3 linked regions of the Callithrix jacchus genome follow. The protein of the gene in region 2 purifies or fractionates together with the protein of the main gene of each other region. This does not show direct contact. Links are inferred from orthologs where the notes say so. Each region holds a gene or a part of one and is shown on either strand. Other genes may lie near its edges.

Region 1 (8,219 bases), on a different chromosome or scaffold from region 2:
GCACAGTGACCTTTAATCCCAGCATACTTTGGGAAGCTAAGGCAGGCCAATCACTTGAGGTCAGGAGTTTGAGACCATTCTGGCCAACATGGTGAAACCCTATCTCTAATAAACAGACAAAAATTAGCCAGGTGTGGTGGCTTGCGCCTATAATCCCAGCTACTCGGAAGGCTGAGGCAGGAGAATCTCTTGAGCCTTGGAGGCGGAGGTTGTAGTGAGCTGAGATTGTGCCACTGCACTCCAGCCTGGGTGACAGAGTAAGACTCTGTCTCAAAAAAAGAAAAAAAAACAGGTGATAAGAAAGTTTGAAAGTTACTGCATTCTGAATTGAAATAAGACCCAATGTTCTCCATCTTTTTTGCATACCAGACAGTTACAGCTTTTGGAAAATCTGAAATAACCAGTTGTTCCCCATTAGTCCACCCTACAAGCCAGGAAAGTTGCCATTTCAGTCTCCCGCGAAGGCTTCCTGTGAGTTAAATCTGTCTTGGCAGTATTCAGGGCAGCTGACAGATGCTCAATACTGCTGTCTAAAACCCTCAAGGGTCTAGACCTGAGATTGAGATCATTTCTCTGCCCAGCCTTCCCAGGCCTTCACCCCAAACATGTACTACTTTCTTTGCTGCAAAACTTACACAAAGTTAGTCACATTGCAGGCAGGCGTCAAGGAGGTAGGCAGGTACCTTTTGTTAGTGAGGAAGGTCACTCACATCTGCCCCCCATCCTTACGACCTCAGTCTGTCTAAGACTGGCCTTGGGTCTTTCTTTGTGGCACTTAGACATTTTTGTTCAGCCCTGGAGGGTTTATACATTACAATGTCTTGTATTCCTATGAAATATGGGGTTCCTTGTAATTCTTATTTTTCTACTGATGTTTTACTTGCTTATTTTTATGACCAGGGCTTTTCCTTAATAGGTTCCTTAAAACTATTCTTTTAAAATTTGTCCTTTTCACATACTATGCATTAAAAATGTACACAAACTAAACAGCATGTACACTTAATTCAGTACATTCATGGAATGGGGGGCTGGAAGGAAACTGGAAGAACCTCTATTCTAGCAGTGTGCTCTGCATAAACTGTTACCTTTGTGACTTTTTACTGAGGAGTGTTAATGGTCACCTAGTAAAAAAAACTTTCTATGTTTATATATTTGGGAAATCCAACATCAAACAACAGAACAATCCCTTTACTGGAGGATTTCTCAAAATCTTCAGTCTGGTAATGTACACATAGGATCTTCAAAGCAGAAAGTAGCATCGCCCAAACTTACTTGGCCACAGAAACACCACATCTGTTAACATTTCCAGTGCTCTCATGAGCCCAGTTTGGGAAATATAGCCCTAAACCAACCCCTGCATTTTATAAATGAGGAACTAGAGCTAGAGGAAGGAAATGACTTGCCCAAAATCACAAGGGTCAGAATGATATTGAGCCTGGCACGCTTGGTGTCCTGATGCCCAAGAGTGTGTGTCAGAAGCATCCATCCCCCTGCCAGTCCTCAGAACCTATGAGTCCAGCCGTCGGTACTATCCACCTTGTCCTCTTCCCAGCCTCCTGTTCTCAAAATCTCTTAAACCTCCTTTCCATCATCTCAGGGAAGATTGTCCAAATATCATTCCTCTCTGGAAGGCACAGGGCAGTGATGGAGAATAATTGCATGGCCTATTTTTATTTGTGCGAAAATTCTGGAACATCACCTTTCACCAAACAGAGTCACACCATTGTACATTTCTCCTGCTGGAATGCTCTTGGGAGCCAGGGATATAGGATAAGTCAGCTCTACATAAGCCAGCATACTTTTATCCTTGCAAACTATTTGGTTGTTTGCTGGTTTGAAGTTTCATAGACCTCCCCTCCTGTTCTGTTTGTGCAGATGGCAGTGTATTCTCTTCACCTAACGGGTGTTGGGTACAACTGATTTTCTATTTCATGGTTTCTTAGGATGAGAGTAAAAAAGCTGCCCATGATCTTGGCCCTACATCTAAAGCGGTTCAAGTACATGGAACAGTTGCACAGATACACCAAGCTGTCTTACCGTGTGGTCTTCCCTCTGGAGCTCCGGCTCTTCAACACCTCCAGTGATGCAGTGAACCTGGACCGCATGTATGACCTGGTTGCTGTGGTTGTTCACTGTGGCAGGTAAGGGCACGACCGGAAGCAGGTGCACAGGGTAAGCGTAAGGTTACCCTTGGCTGAAATATATCCAGCTGCACCTTTCCTGTGCCATGGCACTAAGCGTTTTTGGGATCTCTTCCAAACTCTTACTAATCATCTCAATAAATACATAAACATGCCTACAGACACATTTAAAAAATAGCATTCCAACAGTGATCATCTAAATGTTCTGTTATGAGAGAAATAATAAATCTTCATTGCATAGAAATAATGGTTCTGAGGAATTTGAAATAACATGGAGAAACAAATGTCTATGCTATGATTTTAATTTTTAAAAAGCCAAGTTAGATTTACAGTATGATCTCAAAAGCATTTTAAGATGTGTAAATAAAGACTAGAAGCAATGGATCAAATTTAATAATCTTTGGCACTTGAGTGATTAAGAACATATTCTTAAAAAATATTCTTTGTTATTTTTGGTCTTTCCCCAAATTCTAAAATAAGTATATAATCAGAAAAAAGAAAGTAAGAGAGAGAAGGCCTCTAGATACGGAGAGGCAAAGCATTTTGCCGAAATTTGAGAAGATTTTTTTATTCCGTAATTTGGTATAAATGCAGAAGAATATACTGAAAATTCACCTGTTTGTTATTCTTTGCTCAGCTGGGACAGCTTTATGTGCTACCTTGCGGGTAGGCACAGCTTTCCTCCTGCCCTCCTAGGTTTTAGATTGGGGCCTATCACAGAGAAAGAGTCTTTTTCTCCATCTGCTGAGATGGATTATAGTGAACACATTACCAGAAGACTACCATTGCCACGTGGAGGGATGGATTAATTTGTTTTTTAATTGTGTGCTAGGGTGGATGTATCCGAAACTGTAACTTCATATCTGAAGCACCCCATATTTTGTCCTGTGTGTATTGACTTTAAGTCACTGGATATTTTCTTGTATTCTCAGTAAAATTGTATGTATGGGCTAGTTGTATACCTGTGTTGTGGTGTTCTTCCCTGAAGAACAGGTGTTACTCTTTTGAAGAGCACAGGTTTCCAGATCACTGGAACCTAGCCTTGAGCGCTGGGTGAGGCCTCACATTGGTGCAGGGTTGGAGAAGGTCTTAGGGCAGGCAGAGCCTGGGACCTGGTAGGCATTGCAGCTAAAGTGGGTGGCAGGGGTGGTGTGGATGGGAGGGCCTGCTGGGAAAGCTAGGCGAAGGAGAAACACAGGTGCCCCTTGCACGGGGGGCTCTGTGAGTATCTGATTTGAATCCTTGGGAGGACTGGCAGAGACCCATGTGAGGGAACTGAATGACCAGTGGGAGGTTGGGTTCTCTAAGGTCAGTTTCCGTAATGTGAGCACAAGGTAAGAAAGGCCCTGGCAGCAAAGATCAGTTGGTGCCAAATCAGGCATGCTACTAACTAGGATTCTTCAAACTCCTCCCAGCAGAAGTAGGGCCGTTCTCCTATGTGGAGTGGGGCTGGCCTGTGCATGGAGATTGGGTGGCTTCCAGGTGGCACTGGAAAGCTTTGAGGTTAGGGAGCTGGGCCTGCCTTACCTTCCATGCTCCTGGCCCATAGTTGCAGCAAGTGCACAACCTTGTGCATTGATTTCTGCTGCAGGTTTTTTTTTAAGCTCATGTTTTCTGGGTTCCATGCCAGGATCTGAAGGTAGAGTAACGAAAAGACACACAGCACAGGGGCCCTGCCATCACAAAGCTTACAATCTATCTGGAAATACTGATAATGAACAAAAAAAACCACACCACTCTATTATCACCAAAAATAAACCACTGCAAGATACTTTATGATTTTGATCAGTGCTATCAGGAATAAACAGGGAGATGAGTGAGTGGTGGGAGATACCTCTTCAGGTGAAGTGGTCAGCAGAGATTTATCTGGGGAGGTAACATCTGAGCTGAGGCATAAAAAGAATGCAGTTGGGGAAGGATCATCTCTGGCAGAGTTTACAGCAATGCAAAGGCCCACAATGTGAAGGGGGCATGTGTGAGAGGAGCCTGAGGAGCTGGAGCTCAGAGGAAAGGGAGACGTAGCTGGAGGAGGCTGGAGAAAGAGCAGAAACAGATCATTGGCATCATCTTGTGCTGAAAGAGGGTAAACAAAAGGGGAGGTTTTCTCAACTTTAACAGTGCATTAAAAAACAGTTCTAGGTTTAGGATTAAAATCCCCTTACTCGTGCAAATCTAACCTAACTACATAGTAACTGTTGCTTAGTTGTTCTTTCTGCTTTTTTCCATATAGCATACTGTATGGCTTTTTATTTTAATACTTGTTACTAAGCATCTTGGTTTGTTGATATTTTTCTAAAACAGATCATACAACTCCTTAAAATTCCCTTATCTTCCTGGCTTGCTCGAAGCAAAGCCTAAAATCTTACCTGCGATTTCTCCTGCACCTGCCCCTCAGTCCGCTCTGGTCTTCCTCTCCCCGCTCACTCTGCTGCTCTGGCCTCCTTTGGCCTCTCTGCTGTTTGTGAACACACCAAGTGTTACTCGCCTGCCCCAGGCCTTTCCACTTGTTATTCCCTATTTCTGAAACTTCCATCCAGAGCCGCATGGCTTCCCCCTACCCCCTGACCCCCTACCCCTACCCCTACTCCTATCCCTGCCATTTCCTTCAGGGAAATTTTCTTGTGCCCACATTATCCAAGTGGCCTCCCTTCACCGTCTATCAAATAACACCTCCTGCCATCGCTCAGATCCCATTACTCTGCTTCATCCTTCTCCATGACACTTCTCACCACTTGACCTAGATTTATAAGCTTAGTTTGTGTATTGCCAATCTAGCTCCTATCCCAAGTCCCAAATAAGTGAGGTCTTTGTTTTGTTCACTGCTTCTTCTCCTGACAGCTAGAATAGGGCCCAACACAGAGTAGGTAGAGAGTAATGTTTTGTTAATATTTGCTGAATCTGAGTGTCTGTTTTTCCTGCTGGATTATGAGTCCTTAGAAGATACCTCTCCTGCGCACTTTTGTATTCCCCTACATCCAGCATGGTGTTGTGGACATAGACATGGGCTCTATGCCAAGATCTTTGTCCTGATAACTTAGTTTTCCCCCCAGAGAATCACTGCTTGTAAAGAGCTCAGTAGTGTTTTATAAAGAGATCAATGTTAACATGCTAACTTCTTTTATTTGTTCTTTTCCAGTGGTCCTAATCGTGGGCATTATATCACTATTGTGAAAAGTCACGGCTTCTGGCTTTTGTTTGATGATGACATTGTAGAGGTTGGTTTGCAGATTATTCTCCAGTAGTCACAGGGCATCAATAGTATTTCGGGGAATGTGTATATATAGACGTTTTTTAAAGTAGGCCTGTTTCCTCATAATGTAACTTGAAGACCACTTACATTTCTATTCAAAACCAAATTCTGCTGATCCCCATGCTCTGTGGAAAGGGAGAAGGAGTGTGATCGTGGACTCACCGACTCTGTGTTCTCCACAGTTCAGCCACAGACATGGGATCTCTCTATCTCATCATGACTAAAGCCCCCTCTGATACAGGGCAAACAATAGACTTCAAAGTTCTATTAAGATTATTTTATTTTAACAAATTTTTCTTGTATTGATTATTGTTTAAAGTTTTTTTTCAGTCTGCTGGATCTGGAAATCTATCTTACACCAGTGCATTCTATGTATTGATTTTGTTATAAGAGAATACTAGCTGGAATGAATTCTACACTCAAAGACATGATGTATTTTAACCCACTAGGGTAGCAGTTGTAGTGGAATAACACTAAAAGAGATGAACTCTGGTGGCTGGAAAGACTGAAGGCTATTTTCAGGACCCACCAGTTTACCATTTGGGAGATGTCTTGGTTTCTTCAAAGAATGCCCACACAGGGTTGCTGATGTATGGAGACGTTGCCTTTTTTCCTAGAGATGTGCAATTTATGTGATGATGACCTTCAGCCAAGTCAGTGGAATTCTCCATTTGCCAGTGAAAGTTCCTAATCACGATTTTTTTTTTTTTTTTTTTTGAGACGAAGTCTCCCTCTGTCACCAGGCCAGAGTACAGTGACATGATCTCGGCTCACTGTAACCTCTGCCTCCCAGGTTAAACTGCCTCAGCCTCCCAAGTAGCTGGGACTACAGGCACGCATCACCAAGCCCAACAAATTTTGTATTTTAGTAGAGATGGGGTTTCACCATGTTGGCCAGGAGGGTCTCCATCTCTTGACCTCGAGATCTGCCCGCTTCTGCCTCCCAAAGTGTTGGGATTACAGGCATCAGCCACTGCGCGCAGTTCTCTAATCATGATTTTATAAGAAATTGTGTTCCTTGCATTTTAATGTATGTTCCATTAGTTTTTTATTTCCTTTTCCCAGGTATCATGTTAAGTAATTGTATTGTTTTCTTTCTTTTTTATTGCAGAAAATAGATGCTCAAGCTATTGAAGAATTCTATGGCCTGACATCAGATATATCGAAAAATTCAGAATCTGGATATATTTTATTCTATCAGTCAAGAGAGTAACTTAAAAGAACTGTGGGACTAATTCAAGTGGGGGGAAATGTTCAAAGCACTATTACCTGGTTTCTCTGCAGTCTTTCTTCTTCCCTAGTGGCCCACTATGATATCACTCCAAGTCTCAATGGTCTGGCTGTGTTAGACTCTCTCCTTTTCTGTTTTTACATACAACACTACTCTTGGTTTTATTTCGGTCTGAGGTAGAGTTAACTGCAATCAGATTGTAGTCAGATTTATATGAATAACAGTTGCTAATTTTAGGATTGGGTGAAAGCTATGCCATTCGTTATGTCTGGCTGTATTAGAGTGACATTTCCTATGAATGTCTACAGTCTATTTTAAGTGTTTGCTAAACTTCTACGGCTTCCAGGGTCTTCTGACAATGCATTCCTTTAACTTGTCCCTGGAAGCATTGCTACCCATTTTCAACTTCTCCACCTCTTTTCTCATACAAGGACAGAAGAATTGGGTAGATAATCACCTTTTAGGGTTGCAACTATAGCTTTAAGTTTGTGCAAGTGAAAATGTTGAAAAGTGAGTAACCTCGATACTAAAATCATCCTGGACATGGAACAGGGTGAAGAGAAGCTGTCCGTGGTGGCTGGTGCTGGCTGGCATTGGCACTGGGCTGTGCTGACCTTGCTGTTAGAATTCCAGGGGTTAAGAAGGCTCAGGGCAGGCAAAGCCAAAAGGAGGAAATTTTTGTGGACAATGAAAAGTTACTTTTTGTACGTTTCTACCAAAACCAAGTTTCAGGAAAATAACTCTGTGCTATTTATTTTCAGTCACACTTCTTCTGTAAGGCCCTGTGAGTTGTGTTTATTCTGTATCCGGCACTGCTAAGCTTTTCAAGGTATCTTTCCACTCCTGTTGGTGTGTGCAGTCAGTGGCTGCAGGGCTGGCACACCTCCCCTTAGCCAGTCAGCATCGACATTGTTCCTTATCAGGAATAGCAAAGGCACTGCATCTTTCCAGCTATCAGCACATTGTACAACTTAACTTTTTAACATAGTCCTTCTGTTTACTGAGGCACTGGCGAGTCCCAGGGCTGATATAGAACCTTCCCTAGAGGGAATACCAGAGTTAGCTGGGTATGAAGGTGGCTCAGAGGAAGTGTCTGTGGGCAGGGGGAGGAATGAACAGAATGGCGCTGTTTCTTTGGGTCAGACTCCTAGAATGCTCGAGAAGACAGATTTTTTTTGGAAGAACCTCATCTCACTGTAGTTACTTTTTTCCCTTTTATTATATATGTATTTATTAGAGCATTTGAGTACTGGTACCTTTAATTAAAAGGGTCGTTTGGTGTTTTGCCGTTGAGCTGGTTTTTGAGTCATAGATCTTGGCTTCCTTTGGAAGTCACTTAACTTCCACACACTATAATAAACTGTGAACATATTTTTGTTACCTAATGCATCCGCTGATGAACATGCAAACTTTGGGCATAATGTGAACTAAAATGGAAATGGAAAATGTAAGTGGCCATTTTACAACAATGAAGAGGATAGCACTTTATCTAGATGAAAACTGGATTTCTTGTCTTTGGAATATCTTGAACTGTTTATTGCTCAGAACTTAAGTAAGCATGCCAACATTTCATCTGTTTATGCTTGAAGTGAAATGT
Region 2 (7,595 bases):
GATGAGGTGGGATCCCCGGTTCTAGGGTGGCAGGCATGGTAATGGGGAATCGTGAGATGCAGGCTCAGAGGTGATGGAGAAACCAATATTGCAGCCTGGAGTGTTCGAGAGGGGTCTTGAGATTGAGCCCAGGAATGAGGAGAAGTCTAGAAGTGATGGGGGCCTTGAACGTAATAGGGGTCTAGAAGCTGAATGGGATCCTATAGAAAATTGGGGTCTGGAGATTATGAGGCTCCTGGAAGAGATGAGCATGTGGAAGCTGATGGGAGATCTTGAGGAGAGGCCCTGGCAGGGAAATCTGCAGGTGTGATTCAGGGCATCCCTAAAGCAGTGTGGTGAGAGCCCTGGCAGTTTATGGTAGTCCCAGAAATGTTGGGGATCCTCAGAGCCCACAGGTGATAAATGGGCCTAAAATGTGGGAGGCCATGAGGTTTGATGGGTCTCCGAACTGTGGCGGCTTAGCGACTCCAAAGTGAAGGGAGTACTGGGACGTTAGGCTTCAGAGTCCTGGGAATTTGGATGACCTCAAGGTCTGGGGGTCTTGGAATATTGTGGTAATAGGTCCCAAGGGAGTTGCTGAGGTTATAGGCTGGAGAGGTGGGGCTAAAAGGAATCGGAGCTCAGGAACTGTGTGGACCCAGAACCCTGATGCTGTGGACAAGGGTGTGTCTGAATTAGGGGTGACCCAACTTTGGGGAGACACTGTGGTCAAGGGGGATCCTTACCATCTTTTTCACTCCTCTGTGATTTGGGTCCCCTTCCTGCCTGTGGTTGCCCCCTCCTTCTCAACCCTCCTACTCACCTCCCCACTTCCCTCTGGGTTCTAACCCTGCTTCCTCTTAGTGGTTTCCCCCAACCTCAACATCTTCTTCCTTCCCCTCAGTGGCATAGACGGTTAACTCCTTTTCTCCCACCCCTCAAGTCCATTGATCTCAACAAGCCAATTGACAAGCGGATCTACAAGGGCACCCAGCCCACCTGCCACGACTTCAACCAGTTCACTGCTGCCACGGAGACCATCTCCCTGCTGGTGGGCTTCTCAGCCGGCCAGGTGCAGTACTTGGATCTCATCAAAAAGGACACCAGCAAGTTATTCAATGAGGAGGTGATTGCACCCCGCAGAGTCCCCAACTGCTCTGCCTTCTCACCCACCCACTATTCGCCATTAGGCTGCAGCCGCCTGGGGAACAGTGTAGACCTGAGATGGGCAGGACGAGGGACAGATGGAGAATTAGGGGACAGCAGCTAATGACAGCTGCACTTACTGTACCCAGGCCCTATGCTGTGTTACCCCCCCATGCTGAATACTCCTTAAGTTTTTTAATTTTTTTTAACTTTTATTAATTTTAATTTTTATGTATTTGAGGCAGAGTCTCGCTCTGTTGCCCAGGCTGGAAGGCAGTGGGGCAATCTCAGCTGACTGCGGCCTCCACCTCCCCGGTTCAAACAATTCTCCTGCCTTAGCCTCCTGTGTAGCTAGGACGACAGGTGTGCCATGCCCAGCTAAGTTTTGTATTTTTAACAGAGACAGGGTTTCACCATGTTGGCCAGGCTGTTCTCAAATTCCTGACCTTGTGATCCACCTGTCTCGGCCTCCTAAAGTGCTGGGGTTACTTGGAGAGCGAGGTGTGAGCCACCGCACCCAGCCACTCTTTGGGTTTTCATCAATCACTGGATACAGAAGTGGGCTGCCTATTTTGCAGATCAGAGAACTGAGGCTAGTAAATAAGTTGGGTCTTAGTTGATGCCCTTGTTGTTTGATTTCTGGACTCTGGAGGCTTTGGATTCAAAGCCCTGCTGCACCATTTACCCACCACGTGACTTTGGGAAGGTGACCATTTTCTGAGCCTCACTTTTCCTCCTCTGCAAAATGGGATTCCAGTTCCTCCCTCGCAGAATTGCTATTGTAGAATCATACATGGAGACTGCTCAGTCCTAGGCCAACTTGGCACACAAGGAGATGCCAGCAAACGACCTTATCCTTGGGCAGGGACTGCTCTTGGCTTCTGTCTCATTCTCTCTGGTCCAGAGGAGGTGTTCCATAAATATTCTCAGAATGAGTGAATGGCTGAAGGGAGTGAGTAGAACAGCAAGTGGATTAAAAATTCATTAGCTCATCCATTCACAAATAGTTTTTGAGCATCTGTTATGTGCCAGGCACTGTTCCCAGCACTAGGGATATCACATCTCAGGGGCCTGGACAGGAGGCCCTGCCCTTTTGGAGCTTTCAGTCTAGCTGGGGAGACGGACAGTTAATCAAGTTAAGTCTTCGTGTGTCAGCAGGGGATTAAGGCCTGTGGAGAATTAAACAGTGGGGAAGGGGCTCAGGGAAGCTTGGAGAGGGTAGTGGGGTGGTCAGGAAAGGCCTCACTAGGAGGTAATATTGAAATAAGCACCTGAAGGAGGCAGGCGTGAAAAGTTACCTGGGGAAGGACATCCTTTTTTTTTTCTGAGGTAGAGTCTCACTCTGTCATCCATGCTGGAGTACAGTGGTGCAATCTTGGTTCACTGCAACCTCCGCCTTCCAGGCTCAACCAGTGCTCTCAATTCAGCCTCCTGAGTAGCTGGGACTACAGGTGTGCACCAACACACTGGCTAACTTTGGTATTTTTTGTAGAGATGAGGTCTCTTTATGTTGCCCAGACTGGTCTCGAACTCCTGGGCTCAAGTGATTCGCCTGCCTCGACCTCCCAAAGTGCTGGGATTATCGGTGTGAGCCACTGCGTATGGCCAAGAAGGACATTCTGAGTAGCGGGGCCAGCTAGGGCAAATGCAGGCTGGCACAGAAGCCGTGTGGCCAGAGGGAGAGAGGATGGTAGGTGAGTTCCAAGAAACAACAGAGGGACCGGCTCACGGAGAGTCTGGAAGGCCACAGAAAAGACTTTGCCTTTTACTCTTAGAGGGTAGCCTGTGGAGGAGCCTTTCTCAGCAGGCTCACCTGAGCCCTGGAAGGCAGAAATGGCTGGAGTGGTTATTTGCTCAGTTCTCCCAAAGATGGTCGGCACCTCATTCCCTAAGGGAGAGCAGCTCCTTAGTCACATAGGCTGGCTGCCTGAGGGCATTAGGTCCTCGGCCTCTGGAACCCTGCTTGAGAGAGGCTTCTAAGCATTGAGAGCCAGACAGTGCCAGGTGCTAGCTGATACTTCACAGAGCATCTCCGCGGCAGCTGCAGAGGACAGACAGGCCCAGGCAGTAGAGACTGAGGCCAGTCACACAGTATTGCAGGTGGTTGGAGTGGGGTGGTGAGAGGAGGTTACATTCTGGGTGTATTTTGAAGGTAGAGCCCCCAGGATTTGTTGAAGGATTGGGTTCAACAGGGGCAGTTGCTTACGTTTTTCATCTAAGCATCTAGCAGGATGGGGGGTGATCATTTGTCCAGGAATCACCTTCGAGCTGCCTTCTGGGTGCACTGATGTACAGAACAGTGAGCCAAACAAAGATCCCTGTCACCCAGGCTAGAGTGCAATGGCGCAATCTCGGCTCACTGCAATCTCTGCCTCCCTGGTTCAAGTAGTTCTCCTGCCTCAGCCTCCTGAGTAGCTGAGTAGCCACCATGCCCAGCTAATTTGTGTGTTTTTAGTAGAAATGGGGTTTCACCATGTTGGCCAGGCTGGTCTCAAACTCCTGACCTTATGATCCACCCGCCTTGGCTTTCTAAAGTGCTAGGGTTACAGGTGTGACCTAGGAGGAGCTGGCTTTCTGTGAAGAAATTTCTTGCTTGAAGTCTGACATAGAAAAGATTGGGGGAGGGTTAGGCAGAGCAGTGATCCCCAACCTTTTTGACACAGGAACCGGTTTTATGGAAGACAGTTTTTCCACAGAATGTTGTGGGGATGGTATTGGGATTGGGATGAACCAATATGATCCACCTCTGATCATCAGGAATTAGGTTCTCATAAGGAGCACATACCCTAGATCCCTCGCATGCGCAGTTCATGGTGGGGTTCGTCGGGTTCGTGCTTCTGTGAGGAGTGAATGCTGTGGCTGCTCCAGTAGGAGGCTGGGGTCAGGCTGTCATGCCCGCTCGCCCACCACTTACCTCCTGCTGTGTGGCCCGGAGGGTGGGGACCCCTGAGATAGAGGACAGTTCTACGGCAGGTAGGAAGGTCCCCTCACCAAAGATGGGACATCGAGGCTCCTTGGAGCACCCTGTGGCCACCTTGCAGCAGACCCCATTCCCCAGTGTTTTCATAATCTGGTGTCCATCTGTCACCCTCAGTTTGGGAACTTCTGAGGAGGGCCTGGTGTGACACCTGCTGTGTGAGTGGGGCCATGTCCAGCAGCCTTGGGGGCTTCGGGTTGGGGAGGAGATCTGCCTGGGTTTTACTGCCTTCTCCCAACCCCATCCTGTCTCCCCTGGCAGCGGCTGATCGACAAGACCAAGGTGACGTATCTGAAGTGGCTGCCTGAGTCGGAGAGCCTGTTCCTGGCATCACATGCCAGTGGCCACCTGTACCTGTACAATGTCAGCCACCCCTGCGCCTCAGCCCCACCCCAGTACAGCCTGCTGAAGCAGGGCGAGGGCTTCTCCGTCTACGCTGCGAAGAGCAAGGCACCCCGCAATCCACTGGCCAAGTGGGCAGTGGGCGAGGGTCCCCTCAACGAGTTCGCCTTCTCGCCCGACGGCCGGCACCTGGCCTGTGTGAGCCAGGATGGCTGCCTGCGTGTCTTCCACTTCGACTCCATGCTCCTGCGTGGGCTCATGAAGAGCTACTTTGGGGGCCTGCTGTGTGTGTGCTGGAGCCCTGATGGCCGCTATGTGGTGACAGGTGGCGAAGATGACCTGGTCACCGTGTGGTCCTTCACCGAGGGCCGTGTAGTGGCTCGAGGCCATGGCCACAAGTCCTGGGTCAATGCCGTGGCCTTCGACCCTTACACCACCCGTGCAGAGGAGGCAGCAACAGCAGCCGGTGCCGACGGAGAGCGGAGCGGTGAGGAAGAGGAGGAGGAGCCCGAGGCTGCAGGCACAGGCTCGGCCGGGGGCGCCCCACTCTCCCCGCTGCCCAAGGCTGGCTCCATCACCTACCGCTTCGGCTCGGCAGGCCAGGACACACAGTTCTGCCTGTGGGACCTCACTGAAGACGTGCTGTACCCGCACCCGCCCCTGGCCCGCACCCGTACCCTCCCTGGCACGCCTGGCACCACACCGCCAGCTGCCAGCAGCTCAAGGGGTGGTGAGCCTGGCCCAGGCCCTCTGCCCCGCTCGCTCTCCCGCTCCAACAGCCTCCCGCACCCAGCAGGCGGGGGCAAGGCGGGTGGCCCGGGCGTGGCGGCAGAGCCTGGCACACCGTTCAGCATTGGCCGCTTCGCCACACTCACACTGCAGGAGCGGCGGGACCGGGGGGCCGAGAAGGAGCACAAGCGCTACCACAGCCTGGGTAACATCAGCCGGGGTGGCAGTGGTGGCGGCGGCAGTAGTGGGGAAAAGCCCAGTGGCCCTATCCCCCGCAGCCGCCTGGACCCCGCCAAGGTGCTGGGCACCGCCCTGTGCCCGCGCATCCACGAGGTACCACTGCTGGAGCCCCTCGTGTGCAAGAAGATTGCCCAGGAGCGGCTCACGGTCCTACTGTTCCTGGAGGACTGCATCATCACCGCCTGCCAGGAGGGCCTCATCTGCACCTGGGCCCGGCCGGGCAAGGCGGTGAGTGGCCCCACGCCAGCCTGCCTGGGACCTGGCAGGACCCTTGGCAGGAAGAGGCAGGCATTGGCAGAGAGAGGGCTTTATCACTTTCACAGCCTCTGGCTCTGGGGTGACGGGAAGCCATGGAAGTCTTAGAGTGATGGGGTCTAGCCCTCGGCAACAGGCAGCAGAGAGGGGTGCGTGTGAGAGACGGCTGGGAGTGGGGGTGTCCAAGGCTGGCCGTCTGAAGAGCAGCAGATGGGCCCTGCATGGCCAGGTCTTAGTGCCTGTCACTCGAACCAAAATCTATTCCAGTTGGACATCTGTTTTTTTAAGTGGTGAAACTTTTTTGAGTGCTTTGGGCCAAAACGCTAGGGGGAATCTCAAGCCTGTGGGCCTGGCTGCCAGCGTGGGTCTGGGACTCAGGATCCGAGCCTCCTGCTGAAGGCGCAGGCTGGGAATCCCAGGCCCGGGTTCCAGTCCCACTCTCTGTGTGACCCTGGACAAGTCACTGCCCCCTCTGACCTCCAACTCATCACCTCTTAGAACAGAGCCTGTAGGATGGGCAGTGGGTGGATGCATTTGCCTGCTGGATGGGCTGTGGCATTGGGAAGTCACAGTAGGTGAAGCACAGGCCTGGCGCCCTGTAAGTTCAGAGCTGGTCTTGAGTGTCTGCTCCTTAGGGCTTTGGACTCAGGTGCCCAGGGTCCTAAAGGCCATGGCTTGGTTCCTTCTATCCTTGGTTTTGGAATCGTAGAGTCCTGAGTCCCTAGAACTTGAAAGCACAGTCTGAGCACCTCAGAGGCAAGATCGGTGGGATGCGGGGAGTCTGGTTGAGTCCTAAAAGAGACCCCTCTGTCTCCCTAGTTCACAGACGAGGAGACCGAGGCCCAGACAGGGGAAGGAAGTTGGCCCAGGTCACCCAGCAAGTCAGTGGTAGAGGTAGGACTGTCCCTGAGTTCTTTCCCCAGCACCTCAGGGTCCCTCCCAAGTTAGAAGGAAGCCCCAGTTTCCCCTTCCCCTCCCACCCTCACCCTTACCCCATCGTGTCACTCAGGATCTGAGGAGGACTTTGATTATTGAGTGAAAGTGCCAACTGCCAGGACAGGAAGCTAAGATGCAAGTTCCCAGCCTAGAGCAGCGGCCTTGGGGGACTCTGGGGTGGACCCAAGGGCAAGGCCAGGGTGGCAGCAGTTTTGGGGACTCTGGGCTGGCTCCCTCCCCTTGACACTGGCTGAAGTCTGGGTGGTCTCTAACCCCTCCCATCTCTCCCTCTCATCTTCCCCAGGGCATCTCCTCCCAACCAGGCAACTCCCCGAGCGGCACTGTGGTGTGAAGCCACGGACATTGGGGCCCCCACCCCACGCCCCCAGCCTCCTAGCCATAACCCTTCCCGCTGACCTCATGGATCAACGTATTAACAAGACTAACCATGACGGATGGACTGCTCCGGTCCCCCAACCTGCACAAAATTTGGGGGCTCCCCAGACTGGCCCAGACATTGGGGGGATGTCACGGTCCTTGTGGCCTCAGCCTTGTCCTCCACCCACTGCCAAGTACAATGACCTCTTCCTCTGAAACATCAGTGTTACCCTCGTCCCCGTCCCCAGCATGTGACTGGTCACTCCTGGGGAGAGACTCCCCGCCCTCCCACAAGAGCCCCAGGTATTTGGTGTGCCCCTCAGTCGAGTGTGCAGGGCCGGGGGTGGTCCAGCCCTTGCCCGGCCCCCACCCCAGCCACCCTTGCTATTGTCTGTGCTTTTGAAGAATGTTAAATTATGGAAGCCCCTCAGGTTCCTCCCTGTCCCCAAGGACCTCTTATTTATACTAAAATTCCCTGTTTTCTCAGCGGCTCTGTCCCCTTCGGAGGAGATGGTGTAGAGGACCTGTGTGTTTGCTCTTCGGTTCTAGGCAGTCCACTTTCCCCAGAGGAGGAGTGCAGGCCTGGTCTCCTGCCCAGCATGTCCCACCCCTT
Region 3 (8,911 bases), on a different chromosome or scaffold from region 2:
AATTTGATAAATGACAGAAAGGAGGCAGACTCAATTTGGGGGGACTTGGTAGAAGTCTAGAATCAAAACAACAAGAATCTGACAACATCTGGCTGAAACTGGCCGACATGGATCCTGGTAGGGTAGATAATTAACCTACTTTGAGACCTATTAGCCACTTATTAGCGAAAGGTGAAAGGAGAAAGCCACCAGAAGGTAAGCAAAGCCATATGATATAAAATAAGACCATACTATTTATACACATGCCACATAATTGAATATGGTATTTAAAACTAGCATTTTTAAGCATATTAAAAATTTCAGACCCTAACAAGTCCTACCTTTGTGATAACTAAGTGCCTAAGATTAAACCATCACCTCTTATAAAATTCCATTTCTACTAACTATATTACTTTACCCTCTAATAATCATTAAACATATAACCTGTCCATGACCTAGTCCCCTACCACTATGCTTTATTGGGCTAATCTCAACACCTCATCATTTTCTAACATTAAACTCTTCATGTTCATCCTAAAATTGGGCAAATTTTATAACATGATAATCATTTATGGGAAAACAATATAAAATTATATCTAGGGAATATAACTCGAGTTTTTTAAAAAGTCAAAGAAAATATGCCCTGGAAGGTAAAATAATTGATCTTCCTTTGGCTTTCTCAGAGTTTTTATATTTTCCAGATTTTCTATGAGAATGTATCATTTTTAATGTCTAATGTCTAAAAATGTATTTTAGACAAATTCAAAAGATCAGTGGGCTTAAATAAAACTTTTATAATACTTCTTCTAAATGTTCTCTCTCCACCAAGCTCAAACATTCCATGGACCAAACATTTATGTAATAGAAGATTCCTTATTTTTTAATGTTGTCTTAAAAAAAAAAAAAAGCAGGCTTAAGAAGCTTATGTTTTCTTCCTTCTTAAATTAACACAGCAAAAATTAGACAAGTAAAACATGGCAACTCACATTTAAATGCTCCTATCATGAAAGTACTATTTTACTAATAAAATACTCATTTAAAAATAAGAAATATTTTATTAATAAAAGAACTATATCCACCCTATTTCTTGAGAACGAAAAAGGAATTTTATTATTTAATATAATATGAAGAGGAGACTTCCACACACACACTCCCAACAAAGCATGGGATTTGAGGCTCGCCCCACCTTGCCTTTATTTCTGTAGTAAGGATAAACTACGCTGACTACACATACTCTTATTTGGATCCCAGTGAGACTGAGGCAGTAAGAACAGGCAAATATATGTCCTTTCTAATTTATATATTTTTAAAAACTTTGTTATTAAAATAGAACAAACAAAAAAGAAAAGACAGCCAGCTTAACCTTCAGCAAGTCAAGTTTACTATGCTCCGTGTGCTGGGTGAGGCACAGGCTTTCTCAGAAGTAAAGCCCATCAGACTCTCCCAAGCAGCACCTTCCTTCCGGCTTTGGCCATATTACCACCACGTTCTAATGGATCTAATCTCAAGCTCTTGTAAATGAGGGTGGGCAAGCAGCCAGGCCATGCCACCCCATGATCTAACTCTACCCACCCCCTGCACCAACAACTCCTCCTTTGTCCAGTCCCACTCCCGACAACGCCTTCCTAGCTATGACTACTACAACCCAAATAGGAAGAGAGAATGATGATCAGAGGCAGAGCTAACATTTATGGAGCTAACAGTAAGCAGTGCCTGCCTCCATGCAAACAACAGTCATGACGGACCACCCGGATTAGCCACCTCAACTGCAAAACAGAGCCCTTCTACAACTATTCTGTCACTTTTCCCATTAGTTCACACTTATTAAGTATAATATTAACAGATACATAGGTACTCTGTGCCAGGCCCTGAAGTCTGAAACTACTTCAAAGTCAAAATAAACACCATGTGATAATGAAAATGTATTATTTCACTAACAAATTAAAAAGATGTATTTCAAGAGGTACCCTTGAAAATGTACTCACTGCAATCTAAACATAATCATTTGGGTCAGGCTATAATACTATCTTATGAAAAACAAATTTTACTAATTTTCACATGTAAGCAGAACACTAGTGATCTAAAATAACGACACAGCTGAAGAAAACTATTAACAGTTACTTAACCCAATTAAGGTACTGCACATGTGTCCAGGTACCTTATTTTGACAAATGAAAAAATTATATACACTTCAGTATTTATAGAATGATATTTCAACTTATCCTAAATGTTTTCACAGCTGCTGATTTTCTGAGAAGTATTTCGTTTAAGTCCAGCCCATCTTCTCTCCACCATTCCACACACACACCCAGTATCATCCCTGCTTCACCCGGCATTCCAGGAGATAGGAAGGACTTTTAACACTTTTATACTGAATGCAGAACTTAGTACTCCAGATCAAACTGTAGAAGTAAATGTAAATGATAGTCTGATAGTTCTTCCCCTTCAAGGCCCTCACAACTGAGTAAGAGTTCAAAGAAAAATATACTACACAGTTTAAATATGATAGGTGCTACTGACATTTCAAAAATGGCATGAAGTTGTATGAGGGGGATGGAGGGTTGGGTTGGAGAGGGGTAGGATTATTCAAGTAAAGCTCCCTGCTTAAGAGGTACACATCCTCGCAATACAAGGATGGGGGGTAGGGCAGAGGAAGCATTCCAAGCCTAGCAAAACGGCACCTACAAAGCTAAAGAGGTATCTTTGTTTTTCAATTTTGTGATTCTCAAGAGGACAGATAGCATTTTCTTTAAAGAATAAGACTGCAAACTACTTTGAGATATTTAGCACTATTTGAGGGTACATTAGAATGTATTCAAATACGAATAAAGACACACCCAATTTTAATAGTACCTTTTGAACAATCTCGTTCGGCCAGGCACTTTCAGTATTTGCCAACAATACACACACCCCACCTGTAATTAATGCATCTGGGTGGAAGCCCTAGAAAGAGCTCCCGATTCTGATCTTGGAGATCAGAATCCCACTTACTAAGTGTGCGACGCTGGCAAATCCCTGTGTCTCACTGTCCTAATGTGATTACAGCACATATTTATTAATATATTAATTTAAATACAGTTTGTGTCCATGAAGAACGTAAACACCATGAAAGCCGGGGCTATCCTGACCACTACAGCATCCCCAGCACTCAGCCCCACCTCTAGCACCTAGTAGCTGCTAAACGTAGATGTACAGTACCTGAGTGAATGAATAAGAGTATCACACCACTCCTGAAATCCCATTCTTTGACAGTGAACTATGATCATTACAATGTGTGTAGATCAGCAATCTGGTATCACTGTAAAAGACCTAATTATCGCATTCTTTTGAAACTGAGTAAGATAATAATTGGCGTATCTGAAAATAATTAGCCCAAACAATTCTTGAAAATCACTTTAAAATAGTCCATTTAATACCAATGCCTTCCTAAAACGTAAACTTTGAGAAAGAACCACCATCCAGTTGGGAAATGGAGTCTTCAATATGATTTCTTAAATATTGTCGATTTTATGTCCAGCTGATTTCAGCCATTTTTTGTACTGTTCCTCAGCATGCAGTAGAGAATCTGCTTTTAAAGCATCTTTCCGATCAGATTCACCACTCCTCAAAGAAAAATATACACAATGGACCATCCTTAGATGGAAAATTGCTTGAGGCTCTCCTATATGAAATCGGTTGCATAAATAGGGCCAGTGAGGCATCAAACACAAGCTTTCAGAAGTCTTTAATAACAACCAATAGGTCCACGTTGCAAAGAACAACTTTTTTCGGTGATGACTCATAAATTATGATCCCTACATATAAGCTCATGAGGCGCTAATGAAACGAATTTGTCTCATCATGTGGAAAACTGTGGTCCTTCTGGCCAAGCACAAAACACCAAGTTTTAAACGCGCCCACGTTTTGCTTAATTCGGGACTTCCAGCGAGGATTAGCGCTTTTCCTTTATAGTCTATTTAAGCGCCCTAAGAAAACAAATATCATCGCATTGGCAGGCGGTCCCCGCACACAGACAGACGTAGCTTCACCACATACAGATGTGTCTGGTGGGCCGAAGTAAACAAATGACAGGAAAGCTAATGCTTTTAAAGATTAACGTGCATTCCCACAGACAAGACTGCCACCTGGACACACGGCTGGAAACGAGAGCTCGTGCCTCTCCGAAGAGAAAAATGGAGAGAATTTCAACAACACTTATTTAAAGTTTCCATCTTTACATACGCCCCTTTCCGCCAGCGCGGGGTCGGGGACTCGGCCCGGCCAGCGGCGCGAGGAAATCTGCACTTGACTTCCGTCCTCTCCCTGGCGGGAAAGAGCGCAGCCCGCCCCGGCAGAGACCCTTCCTTCCTGCCCGCCGACCCCCACCCCGCCCGGGGACACCTCCCTCTCGGCGCGCGGCCAGGAGGAAATGGAGCCCTCGCGGCTCCGCAGCTCCTCGCCCCCTCCTCGGCGACCCTGGCCCAGGGCCGCGCTCGGGCTCCTGCGCGCCCACCCGCTGCCCCGCCACAGGCCAGGCGCGCTTCGGCCCTTGGCCCGGCGCGGACACCAGCAGTTCGGTCGGGGACTCCCGGAGGCCAGTGCCCACCCCTCGCCGCGTCCCGCACCGTGGGCCCCTCACCGCCACCCTCGCGCAGCCCCGGCCCGCCAGGCGGCGCCCCCTCCCCGGACGCCTGGGCCGCTCACCCCCGCGCTCCCCGCCCGAGCGCCGTCCGACCGCCCCCACCCGGGCCGCCCGCACGCCCGCCCCCGCGCTAGGCCCCGCGAGCGGCCACAGGGAGAAACGGGTCCAGCGCCGTCCGCCCGCCCGAGAGGTCCCGGCTGCCCCTGCCGCCCGCCCGCTGCACCTACCATGGTACAGATGGAGGCGAATTTGGAGACTGTCATTAGGATTTCCATCCGCCCAGCGCCATCTTCCACCCAATCACAGCGGCGGCGGCGGGCGGGGGATGAGGGGAGCCGGGCCGCCCGCTCGCACTGCAGCCCGCGGGCGGACCCCGAGCCGCAGCGGACCCACGCACCGAGCCCGCTGGGCCGCCGCTGCCGTCGTCGCCGCCGGCGCTCAGGCACTCCCGGCCTCGGGCCCCAGCCCCCCGCCTGCCGGCCGCCGGCCCGCCCCCGGCTCCGCCCCGGCGCAGGGCGCAGCCGCTGCCTCCGGGCCCGCGCCTGCCCGCGAAGCCGCCCGCCGCCCACCCCGCCCAGCGCGCAGGGGAGCGGACTCCGCTGAGGCCCTAATGCCCGGCCTGCCAGGCAGCAGCGCGGCCCGGCGGCGCAGCCCCGCCCACCCCTCGGCGCCCCCCTCGGCGGCCCGGGAGCGCGAGCCAAGGAACTCCTGCCCGGCCCCACCCCGCGCGAGGCCGAGGGCGGGACCGAGGGCGGGCACTGTCTTTTGCCTGCGTCCCTGCGGTCCTAGTGCCGGGCGCCCGAGCCCCCTCGTAGGAAGAGGGGCGGCGAGGAGTCGCGGGGGCGGCTGCGGCGACCTGGGAGAACCCGGGAGGGGCCAGACTGCGACACCCACCGCGGGCGAGGCTATAGTGATCTCCCGCTGCCTAAACAGAAAACGGAGGCGATGATCTGGGTAACTTCGTGCGGAGTGGGAGGAAACATGCTCTGCACAGTTAAGATAACCCAGGTATGCGTCCCAAGAACTTGGTTTCTTTTTCCGTGTATTGGATGAATTCCTGGAGTCAAACACAACTTAGAAAAAGACAAAATAATCAAATAAAAATGAAGCGGCAAAGAACAAATTACACGTTTAACTCTTTGAATTAAGAAGAAAGATAAGTAATGGGGGAAGTGGGGAGAGCAACGAATCCTGTCGGCCTGTTGCCCATAAATTTAGAATAGGTTTCTAAATATCTGCACATTGTGCTACAGAATAGAGAAGATCTCAAGCCAGCAGTGATGATGATATTACCAGAAACAAGAAGCCCGCAAGCAAGAAAAATGCCCTGTGAGAAATCCTCAGGCAGTGCTGGCTACTGGCATGGGTAGTTCCTCTTTTCTCCTCTTATAAAATTCATCATTGCACCCAGTTCATCGTGTCTGGCAGCTCAGCTTTATTTTTTCCTATTTGAGAAAGTAGTTCAAGTGAGTGGAATAGCTTCATAAATTATGATGTTAAAAAGCTCTTTTTTTTTGAGACACAGTCTCTGTCGCCCAGGCTGGAGTGCAATGGCGTGTTCCTGGCTCACCGCAACCCCTGCCTCCCAGGTTCAAGCGTTTCTCCTGCCTTACCCTCCCCAGTAGCTGGGGTTACAGGCGTGTGGCACCACGTCGGGCTAATTTTTGTATTTTTTTAGTAGAGACGGGGTTTCACCATGTTGGTCAGGCTGGTCATGAACTCCTGACCTCGTGATCCGCCCGCTTCGGCCTCCCAAAGTGCTGGGATTACAGGCTTGAGCCACCGCGCCCGACCCGTGATATTTTCTAATTGCTGAAGTGATGGGGTACTTTTCTGGGTTCCCCTAATTCAGTGGGGTTGTGGATCTGAATTCAGACAGCTCTAAATCGTAAGTGCCTCACCTCAAGTGTTCAAAGCAGTCAAAAACAAAAAGCATTCAAACAAAATGTAAGTGAAAAATAGACTTCTGGTACATGAATACTGTTTCCATAGTGATTCCATTATAAGCTTGCTTGGTGGGGGGGGGGAATGCAGATTGAATATAGCCAAGTCCCATGGTATCTGGCCTGGTTCTCCAGGTGCCTGCTTCCGTGGAAGCCAAGAGCCCTGATACCCAAGCCAGGGGCTTCCCTGTCTAGACTTGATAGCATCACCCACCTGAATTCTTTCTTGCTCTTTTCTACCCCGTTTGGACAAGGCTTCTACATCTTGAGTATTTTGAGTGTCACTATGGCTCTGAACCATGTCTGTCTGTCCATCCTGATAAATAGCTGTGGTCATCCTGTCCTTCCCACTTGCTGTTCTATTCCAGCAAACAGGTCTGATGTGCCAGAATTTTAGCCCTGCCTCCATCCGCACTTACCACCCGATGCCTCCTTGCCCATTAATCCTAACACACCACAGGAACAAAGCCTTTCTAAAATGAATTTCTAGGCCAGATATGGTGGCTAATACCTGTAATTCCAGCACTTTGGGAGGCCAAGACAGGTCAGGATCACTTGAGGTCAGGAGTTGGATACTAGCCTGGCCAACATGATGAAATCCCATCTCTACTAAAATACAAAAATTAGCCAGGCACACACCTGTAATCCCAGCTACTCAGGAGGCTGGGGCATGAGGATAGCTTGGGTCCTGGAGGTGGAGGTGCAGTGAGCTAAGATTGCACCACTGCATTCCAGCCTAGGTGATGGAGTGAGACTCTCTTAAATAAATAAATAAATAAATAAATAAATAAATTTCTAGGCTGGGCACAGTGGCTCATGCCTATAATCTCAGCCCTTTGGGAGGCTGAGGCAGGAGGTTGTTTGAGCTTGAGACCAACTCCCTTAAGGCCAGTGAGTTCAAGACCAGTCTGGGCAACATAGTGAAACCTTGTCTCTACTAAAAATAAAAATAAAATAAATCAATGGTGCATGACGGTGCATACCTATAGTCCCAGCTACCTGGGAGGCAAGGTAGGAACATCACTTGAACCCAAGAGATTGAGGTTGCAGTGAGCCATGATTGAGCCACTGCACCGTAGCCTGAGCAACAACCAAAACCCTGTCTCAAAATTACAATAAAATGAGAAAGGCACAGTGGCTATTGCTTGTAATCTCAGCACTTTGGGAGGCCAAGGTGGGTGGATTACGTGAGGTCAGGAGTTCAAGATCAGCCTGGCCAACACGGAGAAACCCCATCTCTACTAAAATTAGCTGGGCATGGTTGCAAGCAAGCTATTCAGGAGGCTAAGGCAGGAGAATCAAGTGCACCTGGAAGGAAGCAGTGAGCTGAAATCCTGCAACTGCACTCCAGCTTAGGCAATAGAGCGAGACTCCATCTCAAAAATTAAATTAAATTGGCTGGGCACAGTGGTTCATGCCTGTAATTCCAGCACTTTGGGAGGCCGAGGCAGGTGGATCAGGAGATCAGGAGTTCAAGACCAGCCTGGCCAGTATGGAGAAACTCCATCTCTACTAAAAATACAAAAATTAGCTGGGCACGGTGGCAGGTGCCTGTAATCCCAGCTACTCAGGAGGCTGAGGTAGGAGAATCGTTTGAACCCGGGAAGCAGAGGTTGCAGTGAGCTGAGATCATGCCACTGCACTCCAGCCTGGGTGACCCCGCGAGACTCCATCTCAAAAAAAAAAAAAATTAAATTAAATTAAAAAGTAAATAAAATGGATTTCTGATAGAATTATCTGGAGTCATATCTAGTTGATATTGGAGCCATCTAAATTCACAAAGTCATGAAATCTAATCGCAGAGCCTCACAATGCCTTGTCTCCATAGCCTATGGTTGATTGGAGAGCCACAAATGTAAAAGAGAGGTGTGTGTGCTAGGTGTTGTACTGAGTGTTCTTTACCATATGTAATGCATTGGAGAATAAGTTTGGCTGAGACTCCACACTTTTGCACCCTGAGCTAGGAAAGGGTAATCTAGCTTTAGAACACAGCTTTACACAGCTGTGTAATTGGTTTTACAAAGAGCTTCCTGTGCCTAGCAAAAGATGTTTGTGTACAACTGACTCCTTTTGGGCCTTCTTGAATCTGCAAACTACAAAATATACCCAGATGCCTCAGGGACCAGGCAAGTAAATGAATGATGTCCAACCTTAATCCATTTAGTCAGCACAGCTTTTTTTTTTTTTTTTTTTTTGGAGATGGAGTTTCGCTCTTGTTACCCAGGCTGGAGTGCAATGGCGCAATCTCGGCTCACCGCAACCTCCGCCTCCTGGGTTCAAGCAATTCTCCTACTTCAGCCTCCCGAGTAGCTGGGACTACAGGCTGTGCCACCATGCCCAGCTAATTTTTTGTATTTTTAGTAGAGAC

What was found.
Region 1: the proteins of DMWD (region 2) and USP46 purify together in Homo sapiens (affinity purification with mass spectrometry; 5 studies listed by BioGRID and IntAct, counting the BioPlex papers as one, with this or other methods). This does not show direct contact. The link is inferred for Callithrix jacchus from reciprocal best matches to the Homo sapiens genes DMWD and USP46.
Region 3: the proteins of DMWD (region 2) and USP12 purify together in Homo sapiens (affinity purification with mass spectrometry; 3 studies listed by BioGRID and IntAct, with this or other methods). This does not show direct contact. The link is inferred for Callithrix jacchus from reciprocal best matches to the Homo sapiens genes DMWD and USP12.

Annotation. Positions count from the first base shown.
Region 1 is NC_133504.1:144,021,744-144,029,962, forward strand, and holds part of USP46 (ubiquitin carboxyl-terminal hydrolase 46), read left to right. Parts: intron 1-1,943; coding exon 1,944-2,141; intron 2,142-5,277; coding exon 5,278-5,356; intron 5,357-6,502; coding exon 6,503-6,604; 3' UTR 6,605-8,219. UniProt on the Homo sapiens protein: Deubiquitinating enzyme that plays a role in behavior, possibly by regulating GABA action. May act by mediating the deubiquitination of GAD1/GAD67.
Region 2 is NC_133523.1:39,941,724-39,949,318, reverse strand, and holds the end of DMWD (dystrophia myotonica WD repeat-containing protein), read left to right. Parts: intron 1-922; coding exon 923-1,105; intron 1,106-4,363; coding exon 4,364-5,641; intron 5,642-6,487; coding exon 6,488-6,562; intron 6,563-6,908; coding exon 6,909-6,956; 3' UTR 6,957-7,468; downstream 7,469-7,595. UniProt on the Homo sapiens protein: Regulator of the deubiquitinating USP12/DMWD/WDR48 complex. Functions as a cofactor that promotes USP12 enzymatic activity.
Region 3 is NC_133506.1:146,332,495-146,341,405, forward strand, and holds the start of USP12 (ubiquitin carboxyl-terminal hydrolase 12), read right to left. Parts: upstream 5,103-8,911; 5' UTR 4,876-5,102; coding exon 4,828-4,875; intron 1-4,827. UniProt on the Homo sapiens protein: Deubiquitinating enzyme that plays various roles in the regulation of the immune response and inflammation.